Elephas maximus indicus: one gene and its partners. The protein of the gene in region 1 interacts with the protein of each later gene in a biochemical or structural test. Links are inferred from orthologs where the notes say so. Each region holds a gene or a part of one and is shown in the gene's direction. Other genes may lie near its edges. The genes, in order: LRP2, DLG4, CLU and DAB1.

Region 1 (7,736 bases):
TCTTTATAAATCCTATATTTGGGTGTTGGAAACATTACATCTGAGGATGATAACATTAGCAAATTACACACTGCAACATTGTATGTAGTATATATTACTAACAATAAGATGTACCAAAAAAAAAGAAGGGGATGGTTGTAAGTACAGTTCATCTTAACTCGAATATATCATAAGTTGAGAACTACCTAGAGTATGTTTGAGGAACTGAGTGGAAGCCAGTGTGGCTGGACTGTTATGTGAGACTGGAGAGAGTTCAGGGACCAGGTCCTGCAGGGACTCATAGGCCGTGCTAACATTTTTGGATTCCATTCCAGGAATAATAGGAAAGTATTGAAGAGTTATAGTCACGAGAGCCATATGGTTGGTTTAATGACTGCAAAAAGAGTATTCTTGCTGCAATGGGGAGAAGATCCTTGAGGAGGCCAAGGAGACACAAAAAGTGTGACAGGTGCTGGACTGAGGGAAGTAGAGAGAGCTATTAGGGCATATATAGGAGAGTCTCCTAACTCAGTACAGAAAGTCAGGGAAAGTATCATGGAGGAAGGAATATTTTAGATAAGACCAGAAAACCGAATAGAAATTAACCAGATGCGGGAAGAGTTGGAGGGCGAGAAAGTTCTAAATTGAGGGAATAGTAAGAGCAAACACTGGGAGATAACAGAAGACTGCCCTTGTAGAACTTATGATCTAATGCAAGTTTTTCAAAAATATTTTTAATATAATCTTTAACTCACAGAAAATTTGCAAGAATAGCATAAGAAACTCTCATATATCCTTTGTCCATTTGCCCTATTATTCTCTATTTTTCCTAATACACACGCTCTCACACTTTTTTTTTAATCATGTGAGAGCAAGTTGCAGAATCATACCCCAAATAAACAAAAAACAAACAAACAAAAAAACCCCAAACACGTGGCTGTTGAGTTGATTCTGACTTCAGGGCATATTTTCTAAGAACAGAACATCCTCTTTAATAGGCACTTTACAGTTATCAATATCAGAAAATTTAACACTGATATGATACTATTATTCAATCCATTGTTCATATTGAAATGTTTTGGTTTTCCCAGTAATGTCCGTTAGAGCTTTTTTTTTCCCCCTTTGTCTATGATCCAGTCCAATACTGTGCATTGCATCTTGTTGTCATATCTCTTTTAGTCTCTTTCAGTCTGTAACAGTTCTTCAGCCTTTCTTTGTCTTTTATGACCTTGCTATTTTTGAAGAAAAGGTAGGTAATTTTGTAGAATGTCTCTGAATTTGAGTTTGTCTGATGTTTTCTGATGAGTAGATTCAGCTTATGCATTTTGGGCAGGAATATCATAAAAGTGTTGCTGTGCGCTTCACAGTGTGTCATATCAGGAGGCATATGCTATTAGTTTGTGTCATGTTCACTTTGATTGTTATGTTAACTTTGATTACTTTGTCAATATGGTGTCCGCTAAATTTCTGCACTTAAAGTTACTATTTTCCCTTAATAAGTAATTTGTAGAGAGATAACTTCAAACTTTTGTTGATTGAGATGCATAATAAAAATATATTTTACATGGTGACACAGTATATGTATAGGAATATATATACATATGTATGCCTAACTGAAACAGGAGTGTTACGAAAAAAAATATCCTTTCTGCATAAAAGTTATTTTAGTTCCTATTCTGTTGGAATTCATTTGAAAATAATCCTTGTCTTGAGCTACTGAATTGATTTTGTAACCTTCTACTGGTCCCTACTGGTAAGCACTTGTCTGGTGGAAATATGACTTTAGATCATTCTGTTTACAAAATGGAAAATAGTTAAGAGGGAGCAGAACTGACAGCAAGAAGCCCGTTAGAAGGCTCTTGCTGTAACTGAGGTAAGAGGGGCTGGTGGCTACTGGCAGTGAGGTTGAGAGAGGTGGGTGCATTTGAGAGACAAATGGGTGGATTGAGGAATTTGAATAACAGAATTTCATGGTTGATTGCACATGGATGGGGGTAAATGTAGAAGAGCAAGAATGACAAATTTCTATCTTGACTTCTGGGATAGGCACCACCAGAGGTTCATGGTTCAGGCTCTATTATGCTGAGCTGGAGGTGGTGGGACACTGAATAGGGGCTGTCCAGTGGGCAATTGGCTCTGTGGTACTCAGGAGGCAAATCTGGGTTGGACAAATAGCGAACTGTGGTTGGATTTTACCTAAGGAGATTTTATAACTTCATGCTTATTTGAAGTGGAAGCATAAGATAGGAACAGGAATTATATTTCCAGTAATTTGGGGTTGAGAGAATAAGTAAAATAATACAGGCAAGCCAAAAAACATAAGGGAATCAACAAATTTGCTAGGACAAATTTCACTTTTCAGCACTTTCTCCTCTCTTTTGGCTAAATGTTCTGTAAATCCTGCAATACACACATGGAGAGAGAAATGTGGGGGAAAATGTACACTTTTGCATCATATAGAAATAATGCTGGCTTAAGTCTTAGTTGAAATTAGCTTGGGCTTTACCAGATGGCGGTCCAAATCCCGCAAGAGGCGTTTTCAAGTATAGATTCTGGAGATAAACACGTGTATGGTGCAGGCTGCAGAAGATGCTTTTTCAAGTGTCACAAGATTGAGACTGTACTTAGAAAATGTGATTTTCTAGGAGAAAAGAGCGTGAATGTGTGAGTTTACATACACAGTGTTGAGAATGATTGGCTTGGCTCTGTTGGTCCTCTCCGTCTCCACCCTCTCTCTGCTCTCCTCCCTCTCGCCGTCCCTCCCTCCCTCTTTCCCCCCTCCTCCTGCGTTATTCTGGGATTAACTGCAGGGTCGGCCCCAAACACTAACGCAGCTGGCGGGTTTGCTCAGCCTGAGCCCTGCTGTGCAACCACGTCAGGAATTCCAGTAAGTTGGCAACACTGGAACACAGAGACAACAATGAGGAAAACCCTTCAGTGCAGAAAGGAATGTTTGGAGCCCCGGCTGCTACAGTGAAAGGACACACACACACACACACACACACACAACACGCACACACACACACGCGCACGCACTCTTACACCGCCCTGCGCTCACGCCTGCGCGGGTACCCTCCGCCCTCCACCCTCCAACGCCCACGCGCGCGCTGGGCGCGAGCTCAGCCCCTCCCGCCAGCTCGATCTTCCGTCCCTCCCACCGGGCCTGCAGTGCGCGCTTCCCCAGGGCCGGCGGCCGCCCTTTGTAACTCGGGGGTGCTGGGACGCTCATTGACCATGCAGCGCGGCCCCGGCGGGCGTCGGAGCTGCATGACCCCGGCGCGGTTTCGTACCATTGCTCCGGCCGCCCGGAACCGGCATAAATCACCCGCGGAGACTGCAGTATAGCATCTTGGCCCCTCACCGCTCCCCTCCTCCCACCCGGGTCGTCCCTCTCGCTTCTCAGCCCCCTGCCCCCTACGGTCCCCAATCCTGCCTCCTCTCGGCGCCGCACAAATACAGTGCAGCGCGGCAAGTAGAGTTCTCGAGACTCTGGCCAGAGCAGAAAACTCGGGATTTCCAAATCTCGCCACGAAATCTTTCTGCTCTTTCTCTCAACTTTATACTCTGAATTTCCTTTCTTCCTTTTTTTTCCTTCTTCCTTCCCTCCCTCCCTCCCTTCCTTCTCTCATCTCAAAAACGGCACCTACCTCCTCCCTCTCCTCCCGCCCAAAGTTGCACCAACCACTGAAGCCAAAGAAAGCTGTGCGCTTCGGACCGTTGGGGTCAGCAGAGCCCCAGACGATTGGTACTTTGGAGTGAAGGGGCTGGCAGTTCCTGGCAGGTTTTTCGCCCCTGGTGAGATGGCGAGGAGGCGGAACACAGCCCAGGGGCCACGTGTAGCCAGGGCTGCAGCCTCCAAGGCCTCTAGCTGTGGGAAAAAGCTCCTGACAACGAACTCCTTGGACCAGGATTCCCAGGCTCCGCTACCGAGTTGGTGCAGGGACCTGGGCAGTAGACTCTGGGTCGACTCCAGATCCACAAACATCCCCTTCTCACACTGGGCTCCCAAGGCAGAGAAACAGGTTGCGCCAACCCTCCTTTCTTCTGTTCACTCTGTTGTCAAGTACTGGCTGAGGACGGTTCTCTAAGGGCGAGTGTAAGGTTCACTCGCAGTGCTCCAGGGCCGGGTCCTTGCCAGCCTGTCCAAGGAGGGTGCCGCGGGGTTTCCAGAACCCCATATGTTTCTCCTTTCTACAAACGGGCATCTGCACGAAGGAAATGATGTTCGTTCAATTGTACTTCAAAACGAATTGCCCCCCAAAACGCAGACTTGTAAGAATCATAATCTGCCCTTAACACTTACAGTTGTGGTGGCTAAGAAAAGCCAAACAAGGACCCAGCCCCCTCCCTAACTTTTAAAAACACAGGGCACCCTGTCTCGGTAGCTTCAACCCTATCGAAGGAAATCGTCGTAATCAAGGGATTCGAGACCAGAAACGGAGGGGACAAATACCTCCAGTAGGCGCCTTTACTGTTTCCTTTCCCTCTCCCTCTCCTCTCTTTCCACCTCTCTCTCTCTCTTTTTTCTTTTCCTTTCCCTTCTCTCCCCTACTCTTTTTGACATTCCCCCCCCCCCCCATTACTTTCCATTCTTCCTTTAGTTTCTCGGACCGTGTGGGTGGTAGATTCCCCAGTGGGCCGCCTAACCGCTTCAGTGCTCAGGAAAATCCTGCAGACAGGCAAGGGTAGCTCGTGCCTGTGTGTGTGTGTGAGTGTGAAACTATGAGGACTTTGTGTGTGTGTGCATATGACTGTGAGGAGTGTGCGTGCACGTGTGAGAGTAGCTGTGTTTGCCAATCACTGTGGAGTGTGTGCGACTGTATGTGCGTCAGTGTGCGTGTTAGATTGGCTACCTGTGAGTGTGCTTGTGCCTGTGGAGTGTGCAAGTACGAACGCGAGTGAGTTTTGAGTACCCGCTCCTTCCTGCGTTGCAAAGTGCTGGGGGCGGGCCGGGCGGCAGGGGGCCTGCCCCGCTGGATTCCCGCATGCTAGTTCCGGGGCGGTCGGTTCTAAAGGGCTTTATACCCTGTCTGGAGGGTGGGGACAGGCGCGGGTAGAAAACGGGATGCCTCGAGGTCCCGGGCTGACTTTCTGCCACCGGGAACGGACCGAAGTGCGGGCCTAAAGTGGTGCCTGCTACTTGCTACTTGCAACGCGCACCCACCTCCCGGGGAAGGAACCGTGAGGCCGGTGCGGCGGTGGCCACGCGCGGAGACCGTCGCAGGGATGCAGCGCCGGACGGCGGCAGCGGCGTGCGCGCTGCTGTTGGCGCTCGCCGCCTGCCTGATATCGGTCAGCGGCGAAGGTAAGCACGCCTGCCGGTCTCAGCTTCACGCGGAGCCGCGGACTTCCCGGGCAGTGGCTGGGTCCGTCCGCCGGCGGGCGAGCGGGCGGTAGAGGGGAGCGCGGCGGGGCAGGGGCTAGGGCAGGCGGCGCCGCTAGAGCGGCTCCCCTTGGAGCGCTCAGGTTGCCCTGCGAGCAGCTAGCGGGAGCGCCCCTCCTTCGCCCCGGCAACAGTGCAGCTGCAAACTTGAGAAAGCAGCCCCGCGGGTTTCAGTGACAGCGCACCGCACCGGGGCCCCCGTCTTTGTTCCCACGGGGGGCTGTTTCCCGACCTTTCTGGAAAGCACTTTGTAGTTGGATCTCCAGAGAATGAGGTTCTCCACCAAGTTTCCAACCTGCTAGCCCCACGGATTTATTCTCGCCAGGGCTGAGTAGTCCTTCGCACTGTTCAGAGCGCAGTTTTCCACCTGCAACGCCCTGCCGGGGAGATCTCTTGGCGCGCCCAGGGCCGCGGGCTAGGGCACTCCCCCTTCTCCCCCGATCACCGGCGAAACTTGGTCCTGAGGTGACCCCCCAAGAGACCGCATCTCATGATACAGATCATTTACGAGCCGATAAGGCCAGGAGGTGGGATTGGCCGAGAGAGCGGCTGATAAGTTGGAGGATTTTCTTAAAGGGTTTTCTTTCCAACCCGGGAGTGGGGGCTTTTGTGTGGATGAATGGAGCCGGTCTGCGCGGCCAGAGTTTTGAGGGCTCGAATGCAGAAAGTTTCTGGTCTTAAGGTCTTTAAACTTCTCTTACGTTATTGGAGAGCTCTGGAGAGAAGAGAGAGGAAGAAGTGGAGAGAATATAAATAGTAACAGGGGAAGAGGAGAGGGAAATAAATAGGAGCAAGACGAGAGGAAAAGGGAGAGGAGGGGGAGAGAAGCGAGTTTGGAGAGAGAGCGAGCGAATTTGTAGGGAGAAAAAGAGGGCACAAGAGCAAGTTTGGAGAGAGAAAACGAGAGAGAGAGAGAAAACGAGAAAGAGGGAGAGAAGAGAGAGAGAGAGAAGGGATGAATGGAAACGGTGAAGAGGAGGCAGTGGAACCGGCGAGCTCTCTCTCTGGCTTTGCGTTGCTAGGTAGCAGCCAGGAGCTGCGTGTGACCGACCACCAGACAGACAGAGCGGACGCTGCAGCCGCCACGGGACTAATCTGTCTGTGGGGATGAGAGAGTCCCCCCGCGCCCCGTTTCCCCTCCTTCTCCGTCCTTCCCGTCGGACAACTTAATTGTCCTACAATGAAATGAAACCCCTTTTGTTGTAGGATTAGGCAATGCAATAAATTGATTTTCCCGGATCACATATTGGGGTTGACGGGTGGGGACTGTGGAAGCTCCCACTTATGGGGGTGGGGTGGGGTGGAGTGGAGGGAAAGGGCGGTGGCATGTATTCAAATGGTTAATCTGCTTTCTTTCCTCAATTCTTAGTTTAAGCTCTTTAGACGGAATCAAGTAAGTAATTATACAGCACCTCCTAACAGCACCCGTTTCAGACTTCTGGGAAGAAGTGTGGAAAGCCAACAAGCCCGAATGGTGTTGCAAAAATCTTTGGAAAGGGAAGGGAGGCAGGTGGAGACCTTTAGCAATTCCTTTGAACACCTTTTTTCGGTGTTGGTAACACAAGAAAGAATTGTTGAGGGCTTAACCTGAGACCCTGCTTAGGGTTATATTTAACTCATGTCCTAAATATAGCCACAGGATTTTACTATATGTTTCTTTAAATGTCTGGCAAAAGAAAATCTTGGCTGGATTTATTTGTCTCCCCACCCGTCCTCCCCCAACCAAAACAGATGTTCTCTAGCTTGAGTTGATGGTACATCAAATAACCTGTACTTACTCTTCTTGATAGTTTAAATCTATCTAGCTTCCATTCTATAACATCTATCTATATATGTGCACAGACAGACACACACACACAGGTCCATTACACTTATTGACTCATTTAATCTTAATAGTACCTCCTTTGAAGTAGTGGGTATCTTATTATCCCTATTTTATAGATAAGACACAGAGTAATTAAGTAACTTGTCCAAGGTCATACTGCTAGAAAATGGCAGACTCAAGGGAGTCCATAGTTTAACTATTGTGATATATGAATCTCTCTGATCATTTCTTTGTCTTTTTTCTTTTGTATTAAAATGTCATGCTGTCTAATACCGTGTCTGTAACTGTGTGTGGTTACAAAGGGAGCTGAGGGGCATTTTGCAAATCTTTACCATTTAAGGCAAAAATCCACCTGCTGCTTTGTAACTGGGTATTTTTTCAGAAACTCATTTCAGGTTTCTAAGACCTGAACCGAAAGCTCTGCATTTCTAGTCTTTCCCCTTCATTGTTTTTAGATACATGTCCTCTGAATGTCTTCAGCTGGTAGCTTGAGGTCTAGATACCTGTTTTATTGATCCTGCTTATCAGATGAAGTATGATGACATTGTA
Region 2 (7,099 bases), on another chromosome or scaffold:
CCTCTCCGCATCCCCTAGGGCATTGGTGTGAAGCTGGAGACCCACTGCCCCAGGTGCTGCTGGGGGTTGTAGTCTGACCCAGCAGAGAGAAAGGCTCCAGGGAGGAGGGTGAAGGGCTCTCACCTCAGTCACATAATGCAGAATTGCCATGCGGGCCAGCTTCTCCTGAATCATCCCAAAGTTGTGAATTTTCTCCCCAAACTGAGTACGGTTAGTAGCATGATCCACCTGGAAAAGGGCACGTGGGTTACACGGTAGTTCTGCAGTTTCCCAGCAGAGGGGCTGGAGGGAGGGGCTTTGGCCACAGCCAAGGTCAGTCCCCACTGGATGAAAGCCTAAGCTAATAGTTCAGGAGCTGTTTGTGGGGAGGGTTTTGTGGTGGAGGGAGTGCCTGCAAGGGAGTCAGAGGGGACTGTGACTCAGAGTCAGGCTAGCTATAGGGTCGCTATGAGTTAGAATTAACTTGACAGCAACAGGATGGTTGTTGGATGGGGTCCCTATAAGTTGGAGTCGATGGCAACAGTAACAGGAGGGACTCAGGCAGGGTACTCACCACCTTAGCAATGATGCCCTTCATGGTGCCTGCAAGGGCTGCAGCCATGCCAAACCTTCCATTGTTGAGAATGTGCATGGCGACCTTGAAGCCGCCTCCCACCTCACCCAGCACGTTCTCCGATGGCACCCGCACCGCATCAAAGTACACCTCTGCTGTGTTCGAGGCTTTGATGCCCATCTTCTTCTCAGGGGGCCCACTGCGACAGGGCAGAGTAGAGAAGCAGAGTTGTGTTCAACAAGTTGCCAGCAGAGGAGGAAACTGCCCCTTCATGCCTTATGAACCAAGGAGGAACTACAAATCCCAGACTATGAGAGGATACAGGCCACAGTTCCTACGATGCCCAGAGGGCTATAAAGGCTGAGCTATAGAGGCCTGGCTATGTCTTGCTAGTGGGTTGGGCCCACTATTTGCTAGGAGTCCAAGCTTTAAATCGGTTTCATACATATTAGTCCCAACAGGAACATGCTGTCTGCTTTGGCTTTTGTATCCCCCCGCCCCGCCCCGCCCCTGCCAGGGTGACATGTAGCAACCATCTGCCCTGGTGCCCAGTACTGCCCCCTCCTTGGCCCTGCCTCTTCCTCCAACACTCACTGGGTAACACCCCCAAAGCTCTTCTCCACCACAAAAGCTGTGATCTTCTCTTTCGTGGTGCCCGTGGATGCATCTTTAACCGGTGTTTTGGCAAAGACTGTGAAGATTTCTGCCAGGCCCCCATTACTGTAGAAGAATGAGGGGGCAGTCAGGAGGACTGAGAACAGTGGGGCCTGGAATCGGGGAGAGGTGGAGAAAAGGAAGAAATGAGAGGAAAATTGCCTGATCCAAATCTTGCTTCCGTTGAGGGTATAATAACTTCCACAGGGGCTGGGTACAGCTGAGCTTCGGATGGAGGCTGCATCGGACCCGCTGGAGGGCTCCGTTAGACAGAAAGCGGCCATAGTCTCCCCTGTGAAGGGGAGAGAGCACCTTTACCATGGATCCTGATGGGCATCAAAGTCCCCCAACAGCCTGCACCCCTTAACACCTCCAGGAACATTTAGTTCCTTTGCATTTCCCCACCAGCACAGTGAGGCCGCCTGAGACGCTCCCAACCAACATGTCCAGGTGTCTGGTGATCTAAGTGCCAACCAGCCAAATCTGTGCCAAGCCCAGGACACCCCACTCCTTGTCTGTAGGACTGTCTCACCAGATGCCAGTTTGGGGAGGTATTTTTCTTTCTGGGCCTTCGTGCCAAAGAGCAGGATGCCTTTGAAACCGATGCTCTGATGAGCCCCGAGGGTGATGCCCACACCAAGGTCATGCGTGCCCACGATCTCCACCAAGCGGGCATACTGGAGGGAAGCAGGCGGTTGGGCTGTAACTGCCCGAAGACCTCCCCTTGGCAGGAGAGTAGAATGGAGCAGGGCCTGGCCTAGGTCATCCCCACAGTGTGGAAAGAGGGAAGTGGAACCATGGAAAGGGCACAGCAGAGGATATATCTGACCCAGGTATTGGTGGGTGGGCGGCTTCCTACCATTGTCAAGTGGTTGGTCTCCAGCTTAGAGATTCGTTAGGACTTGGGACCCGGGGTGAGGTCCACGGCCCTAGGGAACTGGATGTAATTTGTTTTTGGGGGGTGCCTATACAGTGGGGACAGTCAACATCCCACAGGCCCTAGACAGTTGCTTGGCAGAGACCCAGGGCCCAGAAAAGTGATGAATGCCCTGAAGCTGCCAAGCTGAAGTGGAATGGCATCCCGGGGAATGACAAGGGTACCCCTCACCTGGGTGTTGCAGAGGCCCACGCCACCCAGCTCACTGGGCACTTGCAGACCAAAGGCCCCCAGCTCCTTGAGGCCCTTCAAGGTGGTCTCCTCTACCCGCTCCAAAGCTTCATTCTTGGCAGGATCGTTCACCTCCTGGGACGACAGAAGACCCCACATCCAAGGTCTTTTTATGCCCTACTAGAGACCCAGGCCTCCACTCTCCAACCCCGATCATTCCTCACCTCGAAGAAACGGGACACGGGCCCCACCAGCTCTTTGAGAAACTGAGTCTGCTCCTCATTGAGCACTGCAGGGGGGGAAGAAAGCTGGCGGGGTGAGGCTGCAGACAGGGAAGGCTGCCCTGCCTCCGCCCGGCTTTGATGACTCCTGCCCTTACCAGATGGGTATGGGAACACTTGATTGGTGGTGAGCTGGCCCTTAAACATCCCTGCAGCAAAGGACTTAGATTCCTGGGCAGGGAGAAGGCAGTTCAGGGAGGTGGCTGGGGAGGGGAAGGGTGTCTGCCCCAGCTCAGTTCCTCCCGACTTAGGGGCCACATACCACCTTGGCCTGGCTTTCCTTGGTGGAGGCATCAGAGGAGAGGGAATCTGACTGGTCCACAGCCGTCTAGAGAAAAATGGTTATCGAGGACGTGGACAGGGACTTCGGTGTGCCAAGGAGAGCACGGGGCCCGCTGGGTGCGGAAAAGGGTAGATCCCGCGACCTTTCCCCTAGTTTCATCTACAGGGCACCCTGGCCTGGCCTTTCCCCTATTTTCGGTGCCAGACTGGGTGGCAGGTGACTGGCACGAAGAGGGGGACCCCTGCCGGTGGCAGGGAGGTGGGCCCCCACTCCCACACCCCTCGTCCCAATGCCTCCATCGCTTACCTGAGCAGCCCCACTGACATAAGCTCGCTGGGTCGGACCGGGCCGGGGCTGCCCCAAGAGCGCGCTGGGCCGCGAGCTGTGGGGAGCAGGGGTTCAGTCCCGGTCCAGTCCCCGGGACTGACGTCCCCCGTCCCACCAGATGGACACAGACCTGCCACCCCTGAATCGCAGCAGCTGTCGCCCCACGCTCGAAGCCATCTCAGTCCCCTGCACCTCGGCGCCGCACAGTCCTCAGCTGCCTGGAGCGCCGGCTGACTCCTCGCTTTCGCCCCGCCTCCCAAGGTCCGCCCCACCCCTTGACTTCGTCTCAAAATGCACCGGGAGGCGGACGGGAGGGGTTTCCGGGCCCCAGGGCATGCTGGGGCTGCAGTTCCGCAGCGCCCCCCAGCTCCTGCGGTCTGTTTGACCTGGAGCAGTTCCAAGTATCCGTTGCCTTCCCCAGACTCCTTCTTCCTTTCTGTCTGAGCTAGGGTCTGCTGCTCTGCCCTGCCCTGATGAGATAGGGTGGGAGAGAAGAGGGAGGAACTTAGGCGACTGCATCCAGAGAGATGGAAGGTAGACTGAGGCAGGACTTCCAGGAGGAGTTAGAAGGGAGAGATGAGGAAAGAGTTGTGTAAGATGAACGCCAGAAGCAAGGAGGTTGGCTCTTTAAAGGTCTCTTGTGAAATCTGTCTCTTTCCATCAAAACAAAAGGGAAGAAAATGGCAGGTGAGGGACTGAACTGGAGGTGTGAATGTCCCGAACATATATCCTCCTTAGACCTAGAAGGTGTCACTAACTCTTGAAACACCTAAAACTTCACAGTAGAAAGGACCCTCTGGGCTCACTGCTTCCTGTTTAGGGCCGCTGAGACTTTGTAATCATATCTCTGTCTGTCTGCTCTCTGGCCCTTCCAGAGACCATTGCATCCAGGCTAGACCTCTAGGCAGATACATGTGTCCCAGGCCTGAGAGCAACTGTGGAAGTTCTGGAGTCTTCCTTTCTCCCATGCTTCTCCAGCCCTGGGTCAAGAAGTTCCTGATAATTTATAGCCCTCTTCCCACAATTCCCGCTGGGGACAGGCCCAGGAGGGGAAAGAGCTGGGCTCTGCTTCCTTTCCTTTGTGCTGCGGCAGCCTCCTTTTAGGGAAGACCCTTTTTCCAAGACCCTCAGGAAAGTGTAGCTAAACTATTATGGTTATGGGAAGAGGGAGCCAGGGTGTTGGGGAATTTGCTGTGGTGGTGCCTGGGAACCTGGGGAAAGATGAAACAGCCAGCAGGTCAGGTCAGTTCGGAGATTACCTAACAGCTAAAACTGGGTCAGGAGAAGGCAGCTCAACTCCAATCTGGGGGGATTTGGGAGATTAAAGTGAGAGAAGAGAGATGTCGGAGAGACCAAGAGGTGAAAGACAGGGGTTCTTGTGGGGAGGCCCAGGGGGTGGCCTGGGGGCTGGGACTCTGGGATCCTTCTCCCCAGTCTTTCCTTGGGGTCTGGGGTGAAAGGGCAAAGGGTGGGGGAGATGAGGTGAGTGTTTGGCTCTGTCTCTGGGCTGGTCTCTTCCTTGCCCCAAGCCTCCCTCACTTGCGTTTTACCAGCTCCCAGGTCAGCTCTCTGGCTCCTGGCCCCTCCACTACTGTGGTGGGCACCCCCGCTCCTCACAGTGCTGCACAGTGATCTCTTTCAGGCCTTGCTGGGTGAGTAGCCCCAATATTCTGAGGGACAGAGGTGGAAGGGGCTGAGCATGGACTTCAGGGTTAGTTGGGAGCCCGGTGCAGGTCTTCCCGGCAGTGTTCTCCACCAGCGTTGATGAGCAAGATGATGGCACAGGTGGCCCGAGAATCCCAGAATGGAGGAGAGTAACTCAGTTCTGTTTCTGTCACAGACATCCTGGACTATTATGAGGCCTCCATCTCAGAGAGTCAGGTAAGGAGGTGAGTGGCTGGCTTCTTGAGGGAGTAGGCAGGGCTGAAGGGGTGAGGGAAGTATTGCTCATATTACACTGAAACTTGGGGTCCTGGGTGAGAAAATCCTGAGTCCAGGTCTAGGAGCTTGGGGACACTGAAAATGTACCTGCTCCCATTCTGTAGCCCTTTCTCTCTCTTGCTTCCCTGTTTTCTCTGCCTGCCCCAATTTCAGGCGCTAAAGAGTTCAGGGCATACATAGTTACCTTCCTCCTGGGAACCCTGAGGGCGAACCAGGCCCCCAGGGATTCTCCCCTGCCAGCCCCTCCTTCCCCCTCTACCTCCCACCATGGTCACCCGCCTGTATTTGAACAGTCGTGGGTGCTCCCAGCCAAACTCTAGGTGCTTCCTCCCCTAAGAAATGAAATCCCTCATCTTTGTCTTTGGTAGCTTCCCTGGTGGCTGCCAGGTCTCCTCATTTGCCTCAGGGCCTCTCTGCTTCTGCTTCTAGCTCCTTTCCCATTATCCGGGTTCCTGCCAGCACCGAAGGAGTTAACTCTGTCAAGGCACCCCCCCCCATTCTCGCTCTTCGCTCCCTCCCTCCCTCCCCCTGCTTCCTCTCTCCTCCTCTCTCCCTTTCCCTCCTCGGCTCCACGGCTCCCTCGGCCGCAGCCGCTTCCAACCCCCCCACCCCACTCCCCCGCCACGGCCCCTAGGCCCTGGCTATTAGGCAAGACTCCCCCAATCCCGGGGCTCCCTGAAATCCAGTTCCCCTCCCCCATCCCAGCTCATGCCCCAGCCCCCGAACCCCGGGGCTGCCAGCCCCCGCTGCCCCCGCCCCTCCTGAGAATCGGGGTGTGCTCCCCAAGCCCCTTCCCCTCCACTGGGGACCCCCTTTTAGGGCCCCCTTCCCCTCCCTCCCACGCTCCCCTACCCTTCCCTTCTCCGACCTCCTCTTCCCCCTCTCACCCCTCCCCCCATCCTGGCCCCCCCTGCAAAAGTGGGGTGCGGAGGGGGGAGGGGTGAGAACCCGCGGAGGGGAGGAACGAAACTCCGATGAAGTCAGAGCCCCTTACCCGCCGCCGCGGCCAGGCCCCCCAACATGGACTGTCTCTGTATAGTGACAACCAAGGTAAGCGTGATGGGGGGGGGCTATAAACTGGGGGAGGGTAACGAGTTTGTGGGGAGGGGTTAGATAGGCCTAATCTAGGGGTGGCGGCGCTGGAGTGGGAGCATCTGAAGTAAGATGAATTTCGGGATCATAATTTAGTTTTGGGGTTCATATATCAGAAAAAACTGGGTTTGGCCACAGGTGCTCTCTGGGGTGATCTCTTTGTACCTGTAGAGAAACGGAAAATTTAGGGTGTTGCATGGTTTTGGGAGGATCTGGTGGATTTGGGGGTTCACCATTGATGCTTGCAGGAGACTTATTTAAGGAGAAGCATGGCTCACATGGAGGCTTGTGGATGTTGGAAGGTGGGCTAGGTGTAGGGTGGCCCTCTTGCCTCCTGGGGACAAGCTGGCTTCCAGATGCCTTGTCCAATTTTGGGGGCTCCTGTGCGTGAGGCTAGATTATTGGTTGTGAGTTCCTGACTGGTCTGGGGGTGTCAGCTGGTAGGGAAGGGGTGGGCCTTCAGCCATAGAACAAGATACATTTGGGGATGCACCCTCAATTTGAGGGCACTATTAATTTTTGGATTTGATTATATGAAACGGGAATACCTGGGAGTTGTCAAGAGGACTGGGGCCTGGTAGGGGAATCACCTGAGGGAATGAATGGGAGGTTAGGATTTTGGTTACCCCCATGGGAGGCGGGTTACTGCAGCAGTGGTTGCCAGCTCCTGAGGAGGAAGATGAGAGGTTTGGGGAGAGAGGGGATTTAAGGAGGGAGACCAGGTGGGTGGTCTGAAATCTGGGGTGGCCCAGGCAGGTGCCCAGTATCCCCATCTCCTCCCACATTGCATCTACCTCTGGTCCAGAAAGAGGAAGAGCAGATGGAGGGGAATGTTCCTGCTACCCCTGACGCTTGGGATC
Region 3 (7,201 bases), on another chromosome or scaffold:
TATATATATATATATATATATATATATATATATATATATATATATATATATACACACACGTATATATGCTTCATTAGTTTTGTTTCTCTAGAGAACCTAGGCTGAGACAATCCAGAAAACCAGAGGGTTGGGGAAGAATCTGCAAACAAGTTACATGGCAAGGAGCTACAAGCAGCCTAAGTACCCTCAAATACTGGAAGAGCTGTCAGAGGAGAGATGGATGGGATTTTCTCTGTGTGTCTCCAGAGGACAGAATTGGGCTTGGTGGCTAACCCTTATAGAAGCTAGACCTTGACTCAACATAAAAAGGTCCTAACTCTATAAGAAGTTTTACTAGAGAACTGTTCTATAGGAGGTAGTGAGCTCCCAGTTATTGATGGTATTCAAACAGAGCAGGATGACCACCTGATGGGGCTGTTGTGGTGAATCAACATAGCTTCACTGTTAATTGTGCTGTGTTGATTGTGGTCTATATTGCATGAGGGCTGAACCAGTCGACCTCTATGATGTACTTACAATATTCAAAATCCAGTGATACCCTTATGACACTTCCAAAATTCATACTTTTTTTCTTAAAGTTTAACCTTCTAAACCTTGTTTTGGGAGTAATCAAATAATCATTCCCAGTGGACCACAGTCATGACTGTGAATAAGTTTATTTTGTCCCTAATCCTTTCTTCCTTTCTTCCCTTCCCCTACTTTAGCTGACTAAGGCTGATCTCCCTGCCTGTCCTCTAAAGTCAGACTTTTAAAAATATAATTATCACAGATTTATGCCTCCTGTGCTGGATCCTGGGGGAGTTGCAGGTCAGATTAGTTACAAGGAGCGAGCTCAAAAACAATTCTTCTGACCTTGGACATTGATACAATAAGGAGGAGGCAGTTCCCATAGAAAATGTAGCTGTTACCGATAGACTTTTTTTAAGGAAAATAAAATGAAGCCTCTTCTTGGGGAAAAAGATTGCTCCAAGATCTCTCAGGAAGTTTTTTCATCCAGGCTGAGCTTTTTCTCACACTTGGCACTGAATCGGGTTAAGGTGAAGTTGTTGTTAGGTGCCATCGAGTCGGTTCTGACTCATAGCAACCCTGTGTACAACAGAACAAAATACTGCCTGGTCCTGCACAATCCTCACAATCGTTGTTACACTCAAGCCCATTGTTGCTGCCATGGTGTCAATCCATCTCACTGAGGGTCTTTCTCTTTTTTGCTGACCCTCTACTTTACAAAGCATGATGTCCTTCTCTAGGGACTGATTCCTCCTGACAACATGTCCTTGCTTCAAGGGGCATTCCGGTTGTACTTCTTCAAAGGCAGATTTGTTCATTCTTTTGGCAGGCCACAGTATATTCAATATTCTTCTCCAACACCACAATTCAAAGGCGTCAATTCTTCAGTCTTCCTTATTCATCGTCCAGCTTCCACATGCATAGGGGGCGATTGAAAATACCATGGCTTGGGTCAGGCGCACCTTAGTCTCCAAGATGACATCTTTGCTTTTCAACACTTTAAAGAGGGCTTTTGCAGCAGATCTGCCCAATGCAATGTGTCTTTTGATTTCTTGAGTGCTGCTTCCATGGGTGTCGATTGTGGATTCAAGTAAAATGAAATCCTTGACAACTTCAATCTTTTCTCTGTTTACCATGATGTTGCTTATTGGTCCAGTTGTGAGAATTTTTGTTTTCTTTATGTTGAGGTGCAATCCATATTGAAGGCTGTGGTCTTTGATCTTCATCAGTAAGTGCTTCAAGTCCTCTTCACTTTCAGTAAGCAAGGTTGTGTCATTTGCATAACGCAGGTTGTTAATGAGTCTTCCTCCAATCCTGATGCCCTGTTCTTCTTTATATAGTCCAGCTTCTCAAATTATTTCCTCAGCATACAGATTGAATAGGTATGGTGAAAGGATACATCCCTAATGCACACCTTTCCTCACTTTAAGCCATGAAGTGTCTTCCTGTTCTGTTTAAACAGCTGCCTCTTGATCTATGTAAAGGTTCCTCATGAGGACAATTAAGTGTCCTGGAATTCTCATTCTTCACAATGTTATCCATAATTTGTTATGATCCACACAGTTGAATGCCTTTGCATGGTCAATAAGACACAGGTAAACATTTTTCTGGTATTCTCTGCTTTCAGTCAGGATCCACCTGACATCAGCAATGATATTCCTGGTTCCGAGCCCTCTTCTGAATCAGGCTTGAATTTCTGGCAGTTCCCTGTTGATATGCTGTTGCAGCCACTTTTGAATGATCTTCAAAAAAATTTTACTTGCATGTGATGTTGATGATATTGTTCAATAATTTCTGCATTCTGTGGAATCACCTTTTTTGGGAATAGGCGTAAATACGGACCTCTTCCAGTCATTTGGCCAGGTGGCTGTCTTCCAAATTTCTTGCCATAGACGAGTGAGTCCTTCCAGTGCTGCATCTGTTTGTTGAAACATCTCAACTGGTGGCGGCTTGTTTTTTGCCAGTGCCTTCAGTGCAGGTCGGACTTCTTCCTTCAGTACCATTGGTTCCTGCTCATATGGTACCTTCTGAATGGTTGAACGTCAACCGATTCTTTTTGGTACAGTGACTCTGTGTATTCCTTCCATCTTCTTTTGATGCTTCCTGAGTTGTTTAATATTTTCCCCATAGACTCCTTTGATATTGCAACTTGAGGCTTGAATTTTTCTTCAGTTCTTTCAGCTTGAGAAACGCAGAGAGTGTTCTTCCTTTTTGGTGTTCCATCTCCAGATCTTAAGTTGAAGAGGACCTTTCAAATCCCTCATTGAATAGGTTGGAGAAACTGAGGCCCAGAGAGGCAAAGAGGTGCAAAGTCACTCAGCCCCCTAGGGGTGGAGCTGGGACTGTAACCAGACTCCCATTCTCCAGGCCCAAGCCTTCTGGCTTCTTCACGTGCCTTCACAAGCTCCCTCTAGGCTGCCTCCTGCATCTATGAAGGAGGGCAAGAAAGGGATGAGGTCCTTGTTGTACTTGGACCTTCAGGAACCAGAGGCTGGGTCTCAAGACTGTACCTTGACAGTCATGAACAAGAAAGGTCAGCCCCTGGACATATAGCTCTCCCCTAAGCCCTTTCATTTCACATGGTTTTCAAAGTGTGGCACCGCAAAGCAAGCTGTTTGTACCTGCTCCATCCACCCTGTGCCCTTCAGTGTCAGAGCAGCCTTTCAGCCCCTTGCCTTCTTTCCTGTTGCTCAAATGCCCTGAGGGTCCAGAGTAAGTGGCTCAGCTTCTTCCCCAAGAAATAGCTGCACCTGAGGGGCTTCTGGGTTAGTCCTCTCTCTGTCAGGGGGTGGGCGGTTGTGACAGGAGCCATCTCCCACCTCCCTGTCCCTGGCCAAAGTGAGTCCACAAACAAGTTTCCTACTTTCAGAAGAAGGACCTTGTGGCAGATAGAGAGGAGAGAGCCCTCTTGGGTTTGCTGCATAATTCGTGGAGACCCAGTGCAAAATGAAAATGTAGGGCCTGTCGTTCAAAAATTAAGAATTTCAAGACTGCGAAAGCAGCACATTAAACCAAGCGGAGGGCTGCATGGGTCCCATGCAGGCAGCCCTGCTTGGCTGGGTCCCTGGTGGGTGGGGACAATAATTATGTATGCTTCTTGACCCAAGCAGCTGGGAAAAGTCCCCTGGTTGCGCAAATTTCTACTCTGTTGATTCCTAAACATATTTCTGTTTCCTCATGGCCTGGCAGTCTGAGAAGGGACAATGTGGTGGTTCAGGGAGTCAGGGTTTCAGTAATTTATTCTTTTCCTTCTCTAGCAAAACCACCTCTCCATTCCACCCTTATTATTTGACACTTTGCTACTTAAATGGGACAACAGAAGTGGTGTGTGTTCAGTGTGAATAATATTGTTCAGTGGGACAGGAGAATTGTGAAATTTTATTTTGGACTGAGAACCAACCAGGAGCGCAGTGGACATGACACCAACTCTGTGAGGGGGCGCTAAGGGTGAGACGCGAGACGCCCAGCTGTGCACACATTAACTAAAGCTCCCTCCTGGGGCGCCATCCTCCTACTCTGCACTCCCTGGGCGGCGCTGCGGCACCGCAGGGTCTATGAAATCTGCGCGCCATTCGCGGTGCCCGTGCGCCCCCTGGAGTCTCGCATCTGGTGCAGCACTGTCTGCCCCTCCACCCACACCCAGCGCAGGCTTCCAGAAAGCTCCCTGCGCATTTCTCGGCATTCTTTGGGCATGAGTCATGCAGGTTTGCAGCCAGCCCCAGAGGGGGTGTGTGCTAGACTGACCGCTATAAATACTGGCGCCCTGACTGTGCTCATCACGCAGCCTCGCCACAAGGAGGAGCGCACGGAAGCCCGGTGCCAGGGACCGGTGAGATGTACTTCCCGATCTTTCCTATCCCTGTGCAGAACCTACACCGGGACGGATGGGCGGGCGGGCGGGCAGGAGGTGGCAGCCATTCGGGGAGGGGATGGCAGGGATGTCAGAGCTGGGCTTAAGAGGGCATAAGGGAGGCCCAGGAACGGAGGTGGCTAGAGCCCGTCACAATGCAGCTGATCCAGGTGCTGAATTGGTGGGGCCCTGGGATGCCAGGGCGGCACACAGGCTGGGCCTCGGTAATGCCTGTGCTCATTAGCTCCAACTACATTTCTGTCGGGTGTAATGATCCTCCTTTTATAAAGATGAGACTTGGAGAAAGGGCTTGGATTGCCCCAGCCCACAGAGCTAGTGAGTAGTGGAGCTGGGGACTGCCTGCAGGCCCTTCCTGCCCCATCTTCCCTGTGAGGGTGCTGATCTCCGTTGTAGTTGTTGGTCTGCAGGTATGAGTCATCGTTTTCTGTAAATTCTGCAGTGCTCTGGATAATGTGTTTGTAAATATGATGTTTTGGATTTATATATATGATGCAGCTGCCTGCATCAGAGAAAAGGCATACAACCTCCTTCAGGCCTCGGATGGCTAATACAACCGTCTCATTTTATAGATGATTCTCTGAGGCCTAGAGGTTTAGGACTTGCTCTACAATTACGCAGCAAATAAGAGTCAGAATTGGTACTAGAATCTAAACCTTCTTGACCTTCCAGAATTTTTGGAACTAATTAAAACTGATTTTTTTAAAGCAATTTTTAAATTCCTTTAAATTTAATTTTAAGAGGTTTTAGGAATTTAAGAGTAAGTACAGGTACTGCAGAAGGATACTCATGAGACTTTTAGTTATAATAGTAGGAAATTAGAGACAAATGCCTGAATTTATGAGAATGGTAAAAATAAACTGGGGCACATCAGAACATAGAATATTATACAACCATAAAAAATATACTTTTAAAGAATATTTGAAGACAGTGGATATAAAGGATCTAATTGTGTAAAAATGCATAGAAAATAGAAGGACATATTAAAAATTAATATTTGCCTCTGGATAGTGTGACTTGTGGATGACTCATTTTCTCATTTTTCGTTTTGGGTTTGGTTTTCTACATTTAGGGAAGTGTTGAGATAGGCGCCTGGTCTCTGGCATCAGGCCTAGGTCTGCAGCTTGCAAGCTGTTCGCCCTCCTTACTTCGCGGTGTCTGGATCCTCCCCACCGCTCCTCTGCACTCTCACTGATCTCTTTAAGCCTCTAATCCCACCCTGCTGGGCCACCTACTGGCTTTGGAGGTGGTGCTTGGGAGCTTTATGGGGGCCGGTGAGTAAAATGCTCTGAGGAGGGTGTGCCTGGAGGAAAACTGCGCTCACAGTCAACCTTATGCCCCTCCATCTCCTTGTCTTCCTTCCTCTTCACAGCTCTGTCACCCACAGGGCCAGCTTTGGCTAATGAAGAAACCAGACCAGGTGGTTTAAGCCTCCTGTAGGGTTGCTATGAGTCAGAATCGACTCCACAGCAGTGGGCTTCTTTTCCTTTCCTTTTTTTGGTTGGGTGGAAGAAGGCTGCGAAGCAGTGGTGGAGAAAGAAGGGCCTTGGTGTAGCTCACCCAGTTAGAGCAGGTGGCAGGCCCAGTGGTTAGGAGCTGACAGAGGAAGCGAGTCAGGGAGGAGCGAGGGCCATTGCTGTAGTGCTGCCCTTGGACCAGCGATATCAGCATCACCTGCAGACTAGTTAGAAAAGCAGACTTGGAGCTTTGCCCTAGACCTACTGAATCAGAATCAGCATTTTAACAAGGTCATCAGGTGATTCTTGGGCACTTTACACTTTGAGAAGCCCTGAGCAGATCATTGGGGAGTAGCCCATGGTTTCCCTAAGGCAAAGCCACACAGACAGAGCAGGGACCACAGGCAGTCTATCTGTGCCTGTTTTGTTTCCTCTGACCCTCTATAGACACATTACCTCCTCCATATACTGCCAGTGAACAGAATTGGTCCTCGGTCAAATTATCAAGTAGTTAGAATTTACGATGATTATATAAGACCCTCGAGTTTATATAAAACACGCTCGCATCTCTGAAATGTACATTATGTCCATTTTACAGATGAAGAAACAGGCTTGGAAATTTAAGTGACTTGGTGTCAAGGAAAGAACACTGGACTGGGAAGAGTTGGGAGGGCTGAGTTTTCATCCTGGGGTTGCCATGAGCTTGCTGTGGGCCTTGGGGAGCCCCAGCGTATCTGGGCTTCAACCTCCCCTCTAAGGCAGAGGGATTGGGCAGGAATGATTTCTTTCCCAGCTCTGAGCTTGATGGCTTATGGAGGTCCCTAGGCTCTTGGTGGGAGACCCTGTATGAGCTACTGAGTCTCTGGACTCCTCATCTAGTACTCCTCCCTTTGACTGTTCTGCCTCCCCTTTCTTCAGCAACCACCGCCCCCCCCCCCCCCCCCCCCCCCCGGTCAGAACCTACCTCAGAGGATCTCGTATAGATTTCTCAGGAGTTGTTGCTGTCAGGGCCCTCTCCCAGAGAGGTGTCTCTTGCTTGCTTTGCCTCTCTGGTATGACAAAGGTTCTGTCCCTGCTTGAGGCATTTCAGGCCTCAGTGAGCAGCAGGCAGAACCTGTAAGACGGCCTTCCCCCATGCCTGAAATAGTACCATCTCCAGCCACCCACCTTGACTTTGGGGAAGGTGATGACCCTGCACTCTTCTCCCACATTCTCCTTCACTCTGTGGGACACCTAACTGCTTTTTGGGAGAGGCTTTCTTTATTGCTGTTCTACCAAGTATACAGATGGGCCTGGTGTTTGGAGTATGGTTTTTTGATGTGAGCAATTTCAGGAAGGGAGAGCATCCTCCTCCCCCTTGTGTTATGGG
Region 4 (7,579 bases), on another chromosome or scaffold:
AGCACTAAAAACTATTTAATAAGCAGTGATTGTGTATAATTTGTGTTTGGAGACCTCAAAGCTTATAGCACAAATTAATTATATTATACCCCATCCAATGAGAGATATATTTGAAAAATTATAGGAATAAACAAAATTTTAAATAATGTGGAATACACAAATGGGCTACTTTGCATTCCCCTCTTTGGAGGAGTCGATACTACTATTGTTGTTAGGTACTGTCCAGTTTGTTCCGACTCATAGCAACCCTCTGCATAATAGAATGAAACACCACCCAGTCCTGAAGCAGCCTCACAATCCTTGCTATGTTTAAGCCCATTGTTGCAGCCACTGTGTCAGTCCATCTCGTTCAGGGTCTTCCTCTTTTTCACTGACCCTCTACTTTACCAAGTATGATGTTCTTTTCCACAGACTGGTCCCTCCTGATAGCATGTCCATAGGACATAAGACAAAGTCTCACCATCCTCTCTTCTAAGGAGCATTCTGGCTGTACTTAATTTGTACTACTATTAGGATTTATGATTTCTGACATTTGGTTTTGCACTCTATGATGGGTCATTCTCAAACAGCACTTACCTGAACTGCCCCTCTGAGTATCTTGAGAAGCATGTGCACAGGGATGGATTATGTAAAGTTCAGTAAAGCCCTTTTTCTCTCATCTGCATGCTACTCATGCCCATGTCCTTTATGCAATTGACTCTGAGCTTCTCAGAGACAGGATCTGTTTCTGATTTATCATCATTTTTCACAGTGCCTAGTATGGTGCCTGATACATAGAACATACTCCATAAATGCTGTTCAATTAAAATGAACGATTTCGGAATTATTCTGGAAAGAGAACCAGTGTTTACTGGGTGATTTTTTCAGTACTACACTTATCCAAGAGGCTATCTCATTTAAGGCTCACAGCAATCTCATGAAGCAGGTATTATTCTCCCTATTGGTGGCACAGTGGTTTACATGTTTGGCTGCTAACCAAAGGTCAGCAGTTAGAATCTACCAGCTGCTCCATGGAAACCCTACGGGACAGTTCTACTCTGTCCTATAGGGTCTCGACAGCCTTTTTTTTGGGGGGGGGTGGTGATTGTAGAGTTGAGAAGTTTGAAATTAAGAGAGGTAACTTACCAAAGACAACTCAGGAGCATCGGATTCCAAAGTCTATATTCTATCCACTACCTACCAATAAGAGTAGGACCTCCTTCACTCAGCTGTTGTGAAGGTTAGATGAGTCAATATATGAAAAATACCCAGAATGGTGCCTGGAAAATAATAAGCAATATGTACATCTTTGCTGTTATTCTTCTTATTATTTTGCTGTTTCTCAGAGTAGGTAATAAAGAACTATTTATTGATTTTTCATTTTGCCATACGTCATACAAATGACATTGCTATTAAAAAAAAAAAAAAGAACAAAGGAAAAAACACCCTAGCTTTTAGATGAATTGTTTCTTGACATCTTTAGAAAATAATAACTTAAAATATCACTTAAAAATTTGGTTCAGTTTTTTTCTAAAAGACCATTTGGCCCTTGCTGGGCAGCTTGTGAGCAGTTAGCACCTATATATTATGCTTTCTTCCAGCCTGGACTTGGAAACAGCTCTGGCTTGTTGCCCCTGTCAGATTTCATGGGCGTTTGCCCAGTATCCATGCTGGACTTTGTCTAACACTGAATATAGAGTTTTGCATGAGATTCTTCCCTTTATAGTCCTTAACCAAAACCAAAACCAAACCCAGTGCTGTCGAGTCAATTCTGACTCATAGCTACCCTCTGGGACAGAGTAGAACTGCCCCATAGAGTTTCCAAGGAGCTCCTGGTGGATTCGAACTGCCTACCCTTTGGTTAGCAGCTGTAGCACTTAACCGCTACGCCACCAGGGTTTACCTTTATAGTCCTTAGCCAACTCAGTATCACACATTTCCTTCAAAGTCTGTCATCATAACATCAATTTAAATCAGGACAAGGTGGAAGGCAGGTAAAGGGGACAACTCACACATGCAGGCCTTGTATGTGGGGTCCCTGGGTGCGGGGGCGGAATAAGCGAGGTATGCATGGGCTTACGTTAAGCAAGGCAGGCTTACTTGTGTTTACTGACTAATCCGTAGCGCATAATTTCACCACATCTGGTGAAATTATGCACTGAGGATTAATAAGTAAACACAAATAAACCCACGCGTACCTTGTTTATTGGGTAATCCGTCCCTGCTTGGGTGGTACAAAGGTTAACACACTTGACTGCTAATCAGAAGGTTGGACATTCAATTCCAAGCAGAGGTGCTTTGAAGAAAGGCCTGGCGATCTACTTCCCAAAACTCAGCCATTGAAAACCCTATGGAGCACAGTTCTACTCTGACACACATGGGGTTGCCATGAGTCAGAACTGATACTAGTATTATCAACTGGTACTAGATCAGTCAACTGGTACTCGTATAACCTGTTGCCATCAAGTCAGTTTTGACTCATAGTGACCCTACAGGGCAGTGTAGAACCACTGCACAGGGTTTCCAAGGCTCTAGGTTAGCAGATGAATGGTTAACCACTGCGCCACCAGGGCTCTGGTAGGTACTAGTATAATAAATAATTTCATGTTCCCCAGCTGCCCTCAAAGCACTGAGAAACCTTGGAGTGTTTCTTAGTAGAGTCAATGAAAAGTTGGAGCTATGTTCCCTCTCCCAAGATTTGACATTTGTCCCAACCACCTGAGGTACTTAATGATTTTCTTTACCTCCCTCCCCATTTCAGCCATATCTTGTCTGATTTGTCCATGTCCCCTCAATTCTTCCTGTTGCATTCAGCTTCCCATGGTCTGTCTTTGTGGATGAGGAAACTGATGAATTTTGTTAATAGAATTGCCTAGCAAGCTTCAACTTCCTACTTAATGAATCTCAAGTGTTACTTTAGAATTAAATTCCCTAGGATTTTGGAAGAGTTTGAGAGATTTGAGCCTGTTTCCTGGGACCCCACTGTCCACGGTCACAAACAGAAGTAGACAGGAACAGAGTTAATATCAGGGATGGCACCCTTCCCCCCACCTTGTTGGGAGTTTCTTCTGATCAACTCTTTCCCCAAGATTGCATCTTGCCAGTGACCTCACAATTTTTTCTTGTCTCTATGTAAATGGCTATCTTTTCAGGAGGTGCATGACAGCCTCCATTTGCATGGGCCTCCATTTATACAGAAGCTGTTATTACGGAATGAGTTTAATGGGTCGTGAATTTTGTGGAGAAAGGGAGGGTCTCTCGGTGACTTTGTATGTACCAGCCACAGACCTATTGACTCCACGAGAAGTGCATTAGGCTAAATATTTTTAGCCCATTGACTCTGGAGGTAATAACCCTAAATGCTTCATTAAATTTTCATGGGTGAGCAACAGCAGCTGGGGGGGGGGGGGAAGAAAAACAAAACCAAAACAGCACGTTAGCTTTATTATTACACAGCTGGAGGACAGGAGTGTGGCCCCTAAAAAGTGGAGAAATAAACTTTTCAAGAAACTGTTGTCTGCCTTTTCCTTTCCACCTCCCCGCCCTGCTATGACAGGACAGCACTTGATTTGATTTTTCTCCCCTGCATCTGGCTTCTGGAAACTGGGGTGCCACAAGAGGCATTTGCTGGAGTTGAATCCAGTCTCAGGATAGGAGAATTTTCGAACTCTCAAAATACGTTCTGCGATTTGGAGTTCCTAGGATCTTTGGAAGTGAGGACCTGAACTAGGGAACGCCTGAGTGTACTCGCTGGATTATTCTCCTGCGCAGATTGTGTTCACTGATCTAATCTTAGGATTGTTCACTCGCAGGCATTCTAAGAATGAAAAGAGTGAAGGTTGAAGGGCGTGGACCCCTCCCAGGGACTGATGAAAACCTGACAGATGCCAGCTTTTTCCCTTATAGCCAAACTTTGCCACCGAAACCTCAGGTACTGCAAGAGCGCTGAGCCAGGGTTGGCCGCTGGGAACGAGCGTCCCCTCTTGCAAAGGTGCGTGGGGGCAACACACCGTCTAGGAACCTCCCTGGGTTTTTTTCCGCTCACTGGCACTCTTTATATTTCCAAAGGTGAATGTTGGAGGCTTGGATAAAAGAGAAGACCCATGAGAAACATGAGGGATGCCGGGCGGGGGCTGCTGCTGGTGGTGGGATAACGGCGAAAACACTGGATACTTTGTGAAAGTGGAGTCTGATGGCTTTTTACCCCTCCTCCGCGCCGCCGCAACTGGGGCGGGGACCCTGTGCTCGCTGCTCGGCTCTCCCCCTTCCCGCCGGGATGAGGAGTAAGCGCTGGGGCTCCAGAGGCGCGACTGCGAGCCGCGGCGCCCCCGCTCGCTCGCTCTTGCTCTTCCTGGTCGTCACCGAGACTCGGCTAAGCTCTCGGAGTGCGCTCGGGAGGCGCAGAGAGCGCCTCAGTGGGAGCGGGAGCCGTGAGGCCAGGGGAGGGGCGCGCCGGGCGGCTACGCGGGCGGCAGCGGGGGAGCGAGCAGGTGAGTCGCGTCGCTGGGCGCCGGGCCGGCGCGGGGGCCGCGGGAGGAGGCGGGTCTGCGCGCATGGCGGTCTCCTCCCCCTGCTCTGACGCCGGGCCCACGGCTCCCAGGAGGATGGACCCAGCTCCGCGCTCGCCGGGGCTTCCCCGGGCTGGAGAGCGCGCCTGAGTCCCGTCGCCCGCCGGGCATGGGGAGCCCCTTCCTGGGCGGCTGCGGCAGCGGAGGAGGATGCTCTGGGCGAGCCGAGGTGAGGCGCGGGGAGGGCACGCGGCAGTCGGAGTTCAGCGCTGGCAGGTGGCCTGCGGGTACACATCGCCGGGACGCGGGGATGGCTCCGCCGGGGTTCCGGCTCCGGGAGGCGCGCCCCTCTCGGGAGTTTGGCGTGGGGCTCTGCTGGGATTGCGACTGCAGCAGTTTTCTGCTCGCTCCTTCCACTTCCTGGGGGCGGGGGTGAGGGGAGCGGAGGAGAAAGGGGAGACCTTTGCGCCTTCCTCTTGGGTCCTCCCTATCTCTCTACTTGTGACCACTCGCGATTGTCTCTCCAGACTTGTCCATCGAAGACACTTGGTTCTCCCTGGGACCCACTGCGCTCATTCCTGCGTCCCCGGGTCCATCTACCCACAAGCTTTCCTTCTTCCACTTCAGGATCTGCCCTGTGGTCCCGGGCGCTTCTCCCTGCCTCGCTAGCGGCGCTCGCCGTCGGGACTTTCTTCTCGCCCGAGCCCTGATCTTACTTCCCTACTCGCCGGAGCGCTGCGGTTCTGTTCTGAACTATCTGGTAGACGGATGTTTCCCAGTAACCGCAGCCCTTTTGCTGACACTGTCAGCTTGGTCTCGCTTCCCCTCTGACCCTAGCCTTCCCCGAGTCCTTCAGCGACTCAGTTCTGACCCGCCTCGCCTCACTTCCACTCCCCGGGCTTCCTGCTACCCGAGGTCTCCCCACGCCTTCGCTCCCCTTTTCCTTCTCTCTGCTCTGGACTCAACGCTCTGCCTCGGACGTAGAGCTCGGTTTTTTTTTTTCCTTCTTCTTCTTCTTTTCCTACTGGGGAAACTTTAAATCACCGTGGTTCGGCTCATAAAGGAGCCACAAAACGGGGTCTCAACCGCCGAGAGAACCAGAAGTCAGGGAGTTAGAGCTGGGGGAGATGATACCGCGGCGTCAGAAAGGGGCCATTGGCCAAGTGGACGGAGTAAATTTGAAAACCAGGGTGGCTGCTGCAGCCGGGACTCTCTCCTCCCCCGCTGGCTCTATCCTGCAGAGTGTTAATTGTGACCCCTGGTGGGAGGGCGCGTTTATTTTCCGCACTTTTTAAGGCTCTTTGTGTGTGTGTCTCTGGTGAACTGGGATGGGGGTGCAGGGGATCACGAGAGAAAGCTGCCCCGCGAAGCTGGTGACACTTGTCTCCTGCGTTGCCCCCTCCCGGACTTGCCAGATTGTGTATGTTTCACTCTGTGTAAACTACCGCCCACCCCAACTGCATTACACAAGTCCTCATTGTTGGGGGTCTGCCTGGGCACTTCCGCCTTGGCTGGGTGAGTGAAGGAATGGGGCGGGGGTGGGGAGACCAGGGACGCTGGGCGACCACGGTCGGGCTCTCGCTGGAGGCTCGGCGTGGGCGAAGTGCGCCGCGGCGCGGGTGTCTGTCCGCTTGGGTGTGTGCCGACGAGGGTGGGGTGCGTGCCTGCGTGGGTCCGAGCCTGCGTGTGCCTTTGGATGCCGACACACGCCTGTGTTGAGCCAAATTAGAAAGAGGGGCGAGTCCAGAGCGTGATGAAGCGAGAGCGCCTTTCAGCGTCCCGGAGCTGGCCGAGCGAGTCCTCCAGCGCCAGGGAGGCTACAATGCGTCTCCTGGCGAGCCTTCGGGGATCGGAGGAAGAATTCTCGCTGTTGCTTCTCCCTCCTGCCTGCTCCCCTCCCGCTGGCCCGTTAGACACCCTTTCACAATGTTGGTGGTTTTGAATAAAGGCCTTGTGGGGGTTCCACTGGCACTTTATAACGCTTAACATGTTTTCAAGTAATCATATAAATTAAAGGTGGCTTACGTTCAGAACCCCATAATTACCCGGTTCACGTTTGTACATTTATGTGCCAATTATAGGTCTTCGGGAAATGCATAAAATTATAAACTATCCCCACCCCCTGAATTAGCACCCATTGTTTTTATTATCTCAGCGATGAGTGATTCTGGTTGGAACCCTAAACTGCTCAGTCAAGAAGATAGAAGGGGGAGGGGGAGACGAGAGGTTGGATGGGGTTAGGAACGTTTTCCCCCATCTCTTTCACTCCCTGTCTGGAAGAGGTTTGGTGACAATTCTGAAAACTAAAAGGGATCAAAGATTTATTTTATTTCCTATTGAGAAGGGCTACTGAATCAAAGGTATATAAAAGTCAACTTCCAGGCAATCAAAATTGTCTGCTGATATCGTTGATTGAAACCCCAGCATTCAAATGGAGCATTGAAGAACTCAGAGAAATGGCTTTTGAAGCACTATTGTTCTTTGCCATACACAGAGGCCTGTTAGAGGTTTTGGAAGTTCAAAATGCAGTGATTTGAAAAGATTGACATTGTAACTATTAGGCAAAGATGGGAGGATCTGCAGGGCTGAGAGAAGAGACTGAGGTGGGAAGCGCAAACACGTTGTTACTATCTCCTTGAGAACAAGTGCCACTATCAAGTAGAAATTCAGTCCTACACAGCAAGTTGGCAATTAAATCTCTTCCTAAAGCAGATTTAGACGATGATTTTTAGTGGATTTTTTTTTTTTTGGTGGTTTGCTTAAGGTCTGAATAGGCATATCTGAAACATTTAATCATGTTCATTGTATTCAACAATAAAATCTGAATAAAAATTACTTATTGTTGATGAAGCTCATCGCACAAGCTGTTTCACAGTATGTTTCATTTGCAAGGCTTACCATTGTGTGAGGCTGCTGGGAAGAGATCGTATCACTTATTGTTCATTTTCTCCTCCAAAAGCCAGAGAAGAATGTGCTTTTTCGCTTCTCTTTACCCTCCAAAGTCATTTTTTTTTCTCAAATGGGTGGGTGTTTGGCTTGGCACCTGACAGTACCCAACTTAAAAATTGCATTTGGTGGCTTTCTGATGCCTT

What was found.
Region 2: the proteins of LRP2 (region 1) and DLG4 form a complex in vitro, tested with the Homo sapiens proteins (2 studies listed by BioGRID and IntAct, with this or other methods). The link is inferred for Elephas maximus indicus from reciprocal best matches to the Homo sapiens genes LRP2 and DLG4.
Region 3: the proteins of LRP2 (region 1) and CLU form a complex in vitro, tested with the Homo sapiens proteins (3 studies listed by BioGRID). The link is inferred for Elephas maximus indicus from reciprocal best matches to the Homo sapiens genes LRP2 and CLU.
Region 4: the proteins of LRP2 (region 1) and DAB1 form a complex in vitro, tested with the Homo sapiens proteins (2 studies listed by BioGRID). The link is inferred for Elephas maximus indicus from reciprocal best matches to the Homo sapiens genes LRP2 and DAB1.

The regions. Positions count from the first base shown.
Region 1 is NC_064824.1:67,491,978-67,499,713, reverse strand, and holds the start of LRP2 (low-density lipoprotein receptor-related protein 2), read left to right. Parts: upstream 1-4,733; 5' UTR 4,734-5,205; coding exon 5,206-5,284; intron 5,285-7,736. UniProt on the Homo sapiens protein: Multiligand endocytic receptor. Acts together with CUBN to mediate endocytosis of high-density lipoproteins. Mediates receptor-mediated uptake of polybasic drugs such as aprotinin, aminoglycosides and polymyxin B.
Region 2 is NC_064837.1:13,634,363-13,641,461, forward strand, and holds the start of DLG4 (disks large homolog 4), read left to right. Parts: upstream 1-4,094; 5' UTR 4,095-4,357; coding exon 4,358-4,448; intron 4,449-4,759; coding exon 4,760-4,858; intron 4,859-5,046; coding exon 5,047-5,087; intron 5,088-5,756; exon of another isoform or gene 5,757-6,167; coding exon of another isoform or gene 6,168-6,197; intron 6,198-7,099. Other genes in the region: ACADVL (very long-chain specific acyl-CoA dehydrogenase, mitochondrial), read right to left, coding at 124-228, 554-752, 1,148-1,273, 1,370-1,499, 1,740-1,884, 2,316-2,450, 2,540-2,604, 2,695-2,767 and 3 more. UniProt on the Homo sapiens protein: Postsynaptic scaffolding protein that plays a critical role in synaptogenesis and synaptic plasticity by providing a platform for the postsynaptic clustering of crucial synaptic proteins.
Region 3 is NC_064840.1:45,514,744-45,521,944, forward strand, and holds the start of CLU (clusterin), read left to right. Parts: upstream 1-4,183; 5' UTR 4,184-4,198; coding exon 4,199-4,336; intron 4,337-7,201.
Region 4 is NC_064821.1:101,487,956-101,495,534, reverse strand, and holds the start of DAB1 (disabled homolog 1), read left to right. Parts: upstream 1-4,574; 5' UTR 4,575-4,716; intron 4,717-7,579. UniProt on the Homo sapiens protein: Signaling adapter of the reelin-mediated signaling pathway, which regulates the migration and differentiation of postmitotic neurons during brain development.